Macaca mulatta: one gene and its partner. The protein of the gene in region 1 purifies or fractionates together with the protein of each later gene. This does not show direct contact. Links are inferred from orthologs where the notes say so. Each region holds a gene or a part of one and is shown on either strand. Other genes may lie near its edges.

Region 1 (3,375 bases):
AAACAATTTTAGGACAAGGAAATGGCAGAACAACTTTATGGACAACATATAAACTTGGGAGGACTTATACACTACAAAGCATTACGTGCTGGGATTTTAAGTCAGTTTAAGCTACATTCAAGCAAATTCTAGGAAGACAGAGGCTGAAAAGTACCAATAGAGATGCCAGGGCTGCTGGCAAAGAGGGTAACCACATTTCATCCTGGGGCCTCAGGTTAGAGAACTGTGAATTCTTTTTCAATTGAACTGACATTCCTAGTAATACGCTATGTTGTAAATGCCCTTCCAAAATAATCATGCCAACCAAGATGAGGGAAAGTTAAGGGTTGTATATACAGGCAAGAAGTAGGTTTGAGGACATTTAGGATTTCACTTTCAAGAAAGAAAGAACATCGTGCCACAAAGAAGTTCCAAGTGCAAGAGTTTGAACCTGAGGGGGTAATACAGGTGGTGTGTGTGAAGGTGGAAGGGACTGTGGGGATATGACAGAAGCGCCTGGTCAGGAAACGGAGCCAGGTGTTTTTACATTTTATTAGCTACAGTATAGATGCTAGAGCTGCCTCATTCCCTCCCCTCCCCTCCCCCCACCAAGGGGTCAGGCCTTGCCAGGAGCCCCTGCCTTTGCCGCCTGGGCCCGCTGGAACTCCTGCTGCAGCTGAGCAAGGGTCTCCCTCTGTTGCTCTGACTGCCGCTCAAGATCCCGGAGCTGGGATTCATATCGCTTACTAAAGAGAGACAAGGGAGACAAGTAGAAAGGGAGAAATTAGTAGGACTTACTAAGGAGGGTGCTAAACGCAAGAAAGAGATAGGTGGAAAACTTGAGATTAGGGAAGGGAGAAGGGGGGTTAAAAGGGAAGGAAGGGGTTGGAGGAACTGGAGGACTAGGGGCCACTATGGAGAGCTGTTCTGCAATGGTTCAACACCTCTACTCCAATGGTTCACTGCATCACAGGGTGCAGCACACAGTGGTGGAATAAAGACTCACATTTCAGCTGTGATATAGTCCAGCCTCTTCCCTACTGTGGCCCGAGCCTCCCCCAGCTCCTGTTTGACTAGCACCGGACCCAGAAGTTTAAAGACCACGTTGGACCCATCCAGCAGGGCCAGTTCCTGATGGAGGGATGGGACATACGTGATCAGAACCATGGCTAGTACAGGTCCCTCCTCGCCCCACAAATCCCAGTCCCTCACCTCTTTCACGATATTATTTTCTGTTAGTTGTGCTTCAAGTTTCTGCCTCCCCGACATGGATTTACTCAAGTCTGGGGATAAGAGGAAAGGCAAGATTAGAAACATCAATCCTAGTCAGGTGGATATGGATCTGAGGAAGCAGAAAAAGATGGGGGCAGCGGGTCAGTGAATAGGGAAGAGTACTGAAGCGGGAAAGTCTCTGCACGCAAGGGCCCAGATGGGGCAACAAACCTTATCTCGGTAATGGCTTTGGGTTGTGAGTGCATTGGGCGAGGCCATACCGACCCTGCTCCCTTACCCTTCTGTAGCTGTTGATATTTCTCCACTTCTCCCTGCAGCTTCTTCTGGATCAGCTCCGCCATGGCGGGGATGAAAGCCTACGGGGAGCGAGACAAGGGCGCTGCGTCTCACTCTCTGGAAGGTACCTGAGCTCACTTTTCTGATCTCGCCTGCGGAAATGATAGCACTCTTGAGAGGCAGCCCTGAGGGGCACCGCCACCTCCCCCCGGTCCTGGGTATCGACTCCACCCCGTCCCCAGGATATGGTGGGCGAAACGCAAGACCGTAAGCCTCTCAACCGAAATCCTAACCTATTCACGTTCTGCTTTCAGTAGTAATAAACCCGGAAGTAAACGAGGAATGCCGGGAAAAGACTGCGCCGGAAGTTTCTTTCTGACCCTTGATGGGAAGTGTAGTTCTGACATGTTTAGCGAATGGAGTTCTGCTACAAAGACTGGACTCGGATATTTTTAGGCAAGATGGGGAAACTAACCCGGAAAAAGAAACCGCACCGCTACTTAGCCCCTGGTCCCGGGCCTGCCTTTCTTTTGTAAGTCACTCTTGCATAAGCTGCCGCTCCCGATAAGGTGCCAAGAGCTCTTCCGCCCCTCTAAGGAGAGTGTGCCCTCACTCAAGATGGCGCCTAGAGAGCTTCAGACCTGGTACGCTACTGATTGGATGAAGGATAGAGGGCTTCCGGGAGTTTTCAAGCCGACTGTGGGGCAGCTGAGAGGAGTTTTGCACGTGGATCGCCGTTCGGATGGGCGAGATGGAGACAGCCCCCAAGCCGGGCAGGGATGTCCCGCCCAAGAAAGACAAACTTCAGACCAAGAGAAAGGTATCGGCCTCCCTGGGTGGGAAAGGAAGTTTTTTGCTGCGGGGTCGGGGGGGCGGGGCGTGGGTGCGGAGTATCAGAGTTCCTGATCTGCTTGTAGAAACCGCGGCGATACTGGGAGGAAGAGACTGTTCCGACCACAGACGGAGCCTCTCCAGGGCCTCCTTGTAACAAGAAGAATCGGGAGCTCCGTCCTCAGAGACCAAAAAATGCTCACATATTAAAGAAGTCTCGGATCTCTAAGCAGCCTCAGGTCCCGAAGAAACCCCGAGAGTGGAAGAACCCGGAGTCCCAGCGGAGCTTGTCCGGGGTGAACGTGGAACCTAATGGGTGGCGAGGCAGGCCGCCTTGTGCTTTGAAAGGGTTGGGGTCAACCCAAGGCTGTCTACTAACTGCGTTCTCCTTTCCCCTAGGCCCAAGATCCATTCCCAGGCCCCGCCCCCGTCCCTGTGGAGGTGGTCCAGAAGTTCTGTCGTATTGACAAATCCCGAAAGGTGAGGTCCAGCCGGAGAGTTGGGAAGTGTTGGAGGCAGGGAGTGTCTGGGTGAGTTGAATGGAGGCTGGGCTAGGTAGCTCTCCTGTGACCCCACTTATCCTATGGTTCTTCTGCCACTCCTCCCCACCAACAATGTTATAGCTACCACGTTCTAAAGCCAAAACTCGAAGCCGACTTGAGGTGGCTGAAGCTGAGGAAGAGGAAACAAGTATCAAAGCTGCTCGTTCTGAGCTGCTGCTTGCTGAGGAACCGGGGTGAGTGGGCCCTAATCTGGACCCCCAATCCTTGCCTTATAGGACTGTCTTTTCTCGTTTTTATGTTGGTACACTTGCTTCATATTGGGAAACTTTACTGCTATCCTAACCCTTGCTTTCAGGTTTCTGGAAGGGGAGGATGGGGAAGACACAGCAAAGATATGCCAGGCTGACATTGTGGAGGCTGTGGACATTGCAAGTGCAGCCAAGGTGAGCCTGAGGAGGTAAAGGAGCCAAGGGATTGATTGGTGGTGCAGGACAAGAGAGGAATGGGGGCTAGAAGAAGGCGTTCCTGCAGGGTACTCATTTTTTTTTTTTTT
Region 2 (4,246 bases), on another chromosome or scaffold:
CCTTCTGTTGAGTGTCAATAACTTTGGCTTGAAGCTCTGTGAAGGCCTAATAAAAACAAGTCCATGATTTAGTAGGTTAAACATTTTACAGGAAACATTTATGTCAAATCCAAATATATTAAAACAAAACATGCTAGCCAGAGACAAAGTTGTGAAATTTACCAAATATCAATAAGTCAACATAATTGTAAACGATCAAGTCACTATACTAAATACTGAATTTACAATCATCAGAAGATACAAACAGTGTGAAGCAAAACAAATGCACATTAAATAATAACCATATTAAGAAGTATTCAAGGAGTAGTAAAAGAAATAAACGCAATAGTCAAGGATGAAACCCAGAGATTCAAAACAAGAACCATAAAAGTAATAACTCACTACATTTGTATTGCACAATTAGGTTTCAAAGCACTTTCTCACATTAGTTTGAAATATTAATATGGGAATATTAATATAAGAATATTAATGAGGAAATATAATATCTAATTTATGCCTCTCAATAATGCCATGAGTTAGCATTGGCAGTTTCATCATCCACAATTTACAAATTAAGTAACTAAATGAGTTAAGAGATAAAAGTGGCTTGCACAAGTTTGAACAACTATTAGAGGGAAAGGGAGGTGTATTTAAAGACATTTCTTCTAACCCCTTAGTTTAGCAATCTTTCCATTCCACTGTCTATAGTAATATTCATAATATGAACATTTTTAAGAGGAAGACCAAAAAGATAGAAAAAATGCAAAGCACTGGCAAAATAATTGCATCAGGCCAAATTTGACCCTTGCGTACACTTAGTTAACTGGAAAATAAACAGTTCTTGGATACTCTTGTTGAAGTGCCTGGAATGACTTTCATATGCTGTCAAATTGGTGCCTTAATAATTTGTGACTGCAATGTACAGCAAAGGTTACTACATAATTTTTATTGTGACCTTGTTTTCACCTACTAGTAAGATTTTGAAAGATTTACTTTGGAGAAGGGGAGGGGCCTGAAATGTCCTATTTGTCTCCACCCAAAAAACGGACCCTGTAACAACATTAGAAGATAAAACCTTTAAACAAGTTTTTAAATTAATCATTTGTCAAAATTATTCAGTTTAAGTTTGTAATCATTTTCTTAGTTTGCATTCACTGTCCACATTTTTCAAATGTAGCAACAAATTCAAAAGTACCAGGAGGAAAATCCATTCACTAAACCCTGATTTAAATCGGTACTTTTAATTTAAAAAAAGGTAAATTTTTAGAATGCACAATTTTGTTTTGAAATGTAAAATTTCAGGTATTATCTGACTGCTCTGTACAGCTTGCTAAGGAAGCTAGTATACCGTTAAAGATGAGCTAGTACACCGTTAAAGATGAGGGAATTCCACCTAAGAGCTAAATTTACAAGATTCAAGACAAGAACAAAAGCAAGACACAAACACATAATATCCTCAGAACCATAACAAAAGCTTCATTTGTTAGAAGCAACAGCTATTTCGGCTGTCCTATTTCTTTTGCACAAGTTGACCAGAGAGACAGTCTTAACTAAGATGTTGCTCATCTGAAGAATCCAAAATAGTGGTCAAAAAAGTGTGAGGTAGCCGGGCGCGGTGGCTTACGCCTGTAATCCCAACACTTTGGGAAGCCGAGGCGGGCAGATCACGAGGTCAGGAGATCGAGACCATCCTGGCTAACACGGTGAAACCCCGTCTCTACCAAAAATACAAAAAATTAGCCGGGCGAGGTGGCGGGCGCCTGTAGTCCCAGCTACTCTGGAGGCTGAAGCAGGAGAATGGCATGAACCCGGGAGGCGGAGCTTGCAGTGAGCCGAGATCGCGCCACTGCACTCCAGCCTGCGCCACTAGCGAGACTCTGTCTCAAAAAAAAAAAAAAAACAAAAAAGGTGTGAGGTAAGACAGAGAATACTGGATTCTAGTCCCAACCTCTGACAGACTCTTCTAGCACTGGTTCCTTTTCTAGAAAAGTAGATTTAAAATAGATAAATTCTAGAGTCCTTTCCAATCCACCCCACCGCACAAAGCATACTGGTTTGGGGTCATTAGTGGTGTTAGAATGCTGATCATTCTTAGACAGCAAAAATATGAGTAACAACACATTATAAGCAACTGAGGAAAGCAGGAAACCCAATTCCTTCTGATACCGGTTTTATTTGGAAAACTTTACTGGTTTTGTTGTTTTTTTGACAAGTCCTTCAAAAGAAGGTTTTGTTTTGTTTGTTTTTTTTTTTTTTTTTTTTTTTTTTTTGACAAGTCCTTAAAAAGAAGGGGAGGGCCCAAATCTTGAAATGAACATTGCTGTTACAATGCCTGGTTTTCCGAACTGTAGATACCGCAACCTTTCAAGGTATAGAACCGAATAAACGGCCTAAAAACAAAGGTTGGACTTGGAGTTTTTCAAAGCAAATGAGGCAGAATTACGGATGCCACAACTCAGGCAAGGGGTCCGAAGGCACCCCCATTTGAAATGCTCTCTTTGGTTCTTACTATGAAAGTGAGTCCCTGAAGCCTCCAAACGCAACGAAAGCTCTCTAGAGCTCAGAAAGACTGCACAGGCCCGAGATAGGCCCGCAGACTTACCTCACCCAAACCGGCTCCTACCCAGCAAGAGCCGCTCGCCCCCCACCCCAGTTTACGGAGACGCAGTGCGGCCTTAGGACTCTGGAAAACCATTCCCTAGTCCACTGGACCCTCCTTCCTTATGCAAGGCTCGTGCCTCACTCGATATTCTTGCCTATAGTCCCCTCAGCCTCCAAAGAGAAGGCCTCCGCCTGCCCAAGACCCTCTTTTACCTTCTTCAACTCAAGATCCACGGGGGCAGCCATGTTGGTGTATGCGCCTGCGCAGTGGGAGTTGGCCTGAAAGAGGGTGGGGGAAGGGCGCGCCTCACTTTGTGCATCCGTCCTTCTTCTGCGCCTGCGCATGAGTTGGACTAACCGGGCTTCCTACCTTTCTATGAGAATTGATTAACCCCTGAAATATTTGGGTTTCGGATTCAGTGTCTCCACTATCTGACCGGTCAGGTCTGGCTTGCTCCTCCACATCTTCCAGACATAGCCCAACGCGCAGATTTCCCATGTGGCTTTAAGCAGTTTGCCAGCTAGCTTAGTATATGCTGCTAAACTGGGATGTATGTAGATGAGGTCAAACCCTCATCAGTCGATCAGAATCCTTCAGCTAGTCGCTGTGCTGTCAGGGATCAGTAAGAATAAGTCCAGAACCTCAGGCATGACAGTTTGGGAAAGACTACCGGAAAGCTTGTCTGGAGTGTTCTTTCCAAGACGAACTTACTACTTCCAAAAGCTTCCCAAAGACTTTCTAGGCACAGTGGTTCAAAAGAGAGGCTGAATACGTTTGTTTAAAAAAAAAAAAAATGCAGGTTCTCTGGGTCTCATCTCAAACTTACTCAGAATCTTTGAGAATGGGGTCTGGAAATTTGCACTTTTGCAAACTCTCCCAGTGAGCTAATGGTGCAACTCCTCTGCGGATCACTTTTTTGAGAATCTCTGCCATAAAAGGACCTGGCATTTGAACCAGAAGAATAGATAATAATTGACTTTTGGAAATGGAAAAAAAGAAATGTTTACCTACTCTAAAAACTGTTATGCTAAGAGAAAGTGCTACATAAACAATTAGGAAATTTATTTTATTTTTTTTTTAAAAAGAGAGTGAAAGAAAGAAAGAAAAAGAAAGAGAAAGAGAGAGAAACAAAACAAACTGTTAGGGAGATGAAAGGGCAGGGAATTTGGAACCAGCCTGATCCAGATTCAAGGCTTGGTCCACCTTTAGCTTATGTCTGGTTCCATTTACTAATTGTGTGACTTTGAGCAAGTCACTTGGATATTTTGTGGTTTTGGTTTTTTGTTTTGTTTTTTGGTACGTTTGCTTGTTTGTTTGTTTTTTGAGACAGGATCTTGCTTTGTCACCCAGGCTAGAGTGCGGTGGTGCAATCGCCGCTCACTCCAGCCTCTACCTCCCGTGCTCAAGCAATCCTCCCACCTCAGCCTCCTGAGTAGCTGGGACTGCAGGCACGCGCCACCCACACCCAGCTAATTTTTGGATTTTTCGTAGAGACAGGTTTTCACCTTGTTGCCGAAGCTAGTCTCAAACTCCTGAGCTCAAACAATTCGCTCGCCTTGGTCGCCCAAAGTGCTGTAGTGCTGTGATTACAGGCTTGAGCCACCGCGCCCGGCCCTTTTTTTTTTTTTTTTTTTTTTTTTTTTTTTTTTTTTTTTTTTTTTAGCC

What was found. Proteins that work in one complex are often made in the same cells at the same time.
Region 2: the proteins of PFDN6 (region 1) and PFDN1 purify together in Homo sapiens (affinity purification with mass spectrometry; 6 studies listed by BioGRID and IntAct, with this or other methods). This does not show direct contact. The link is inferred for Macaca mulatta from reciprocal best matches to the Homo sapiens genes PFDN6 and PFDN1.

Annotation. Positions count from the first base shown.
Region 1 is NC_133409.1:148,999,043-149,002,417, forward strand, and holds PFDN6 (prefoldin subunit 6), read right to left. Parts: upstream 1,812-3,375; 5' UTR 1,782-1,811; exon of another isoform or gene 1,569-1,781; 5' UTR 1,554-1,568; coding exon 1,490-1,553; intron 1,263-1,489; coding exon 1,192-1,262; intron 1,111-1,191; coding exon 986-1,110; intron 726-985; coding exon 596-725; 3' UTR 513-595; downstream 1-512. Other genes in the region: WDR46 (WD repeat-containing protein 46), read left to right, coding at 2,231-2,308, 2,406-2,615, 2,719-2,799, 2,943-3,055, 3,178-3,265. UniProt on the Homo sapiens protein: Binds specifically to cytosolic chaperonin (c-CPN) and transfers target proteins to it. Binds to nascent polypeptide chain and promotes folding in an environment in which there are many competing pathways for nonnative proteins.
Region 2 is NC_133411.1:149,161,771-149,166,016, forward strand, and holds the start of PFDN1 (prefoldin subunit 1), read right to left. Parts: upstream 2,852-4,246; 5' UTR 2,827-2,851; coding exon 2,794-2,826; intron 47-2,793; coding exon 1-46. UniProt on the Homo sapiens protein: Binds specifically to cytosolic chaperonin (c-CPN) and transfers target proteins to it. Binds to nascent polypeptide chain and promotes folding in an environment in which there are many competing pathways for nonnative proteins.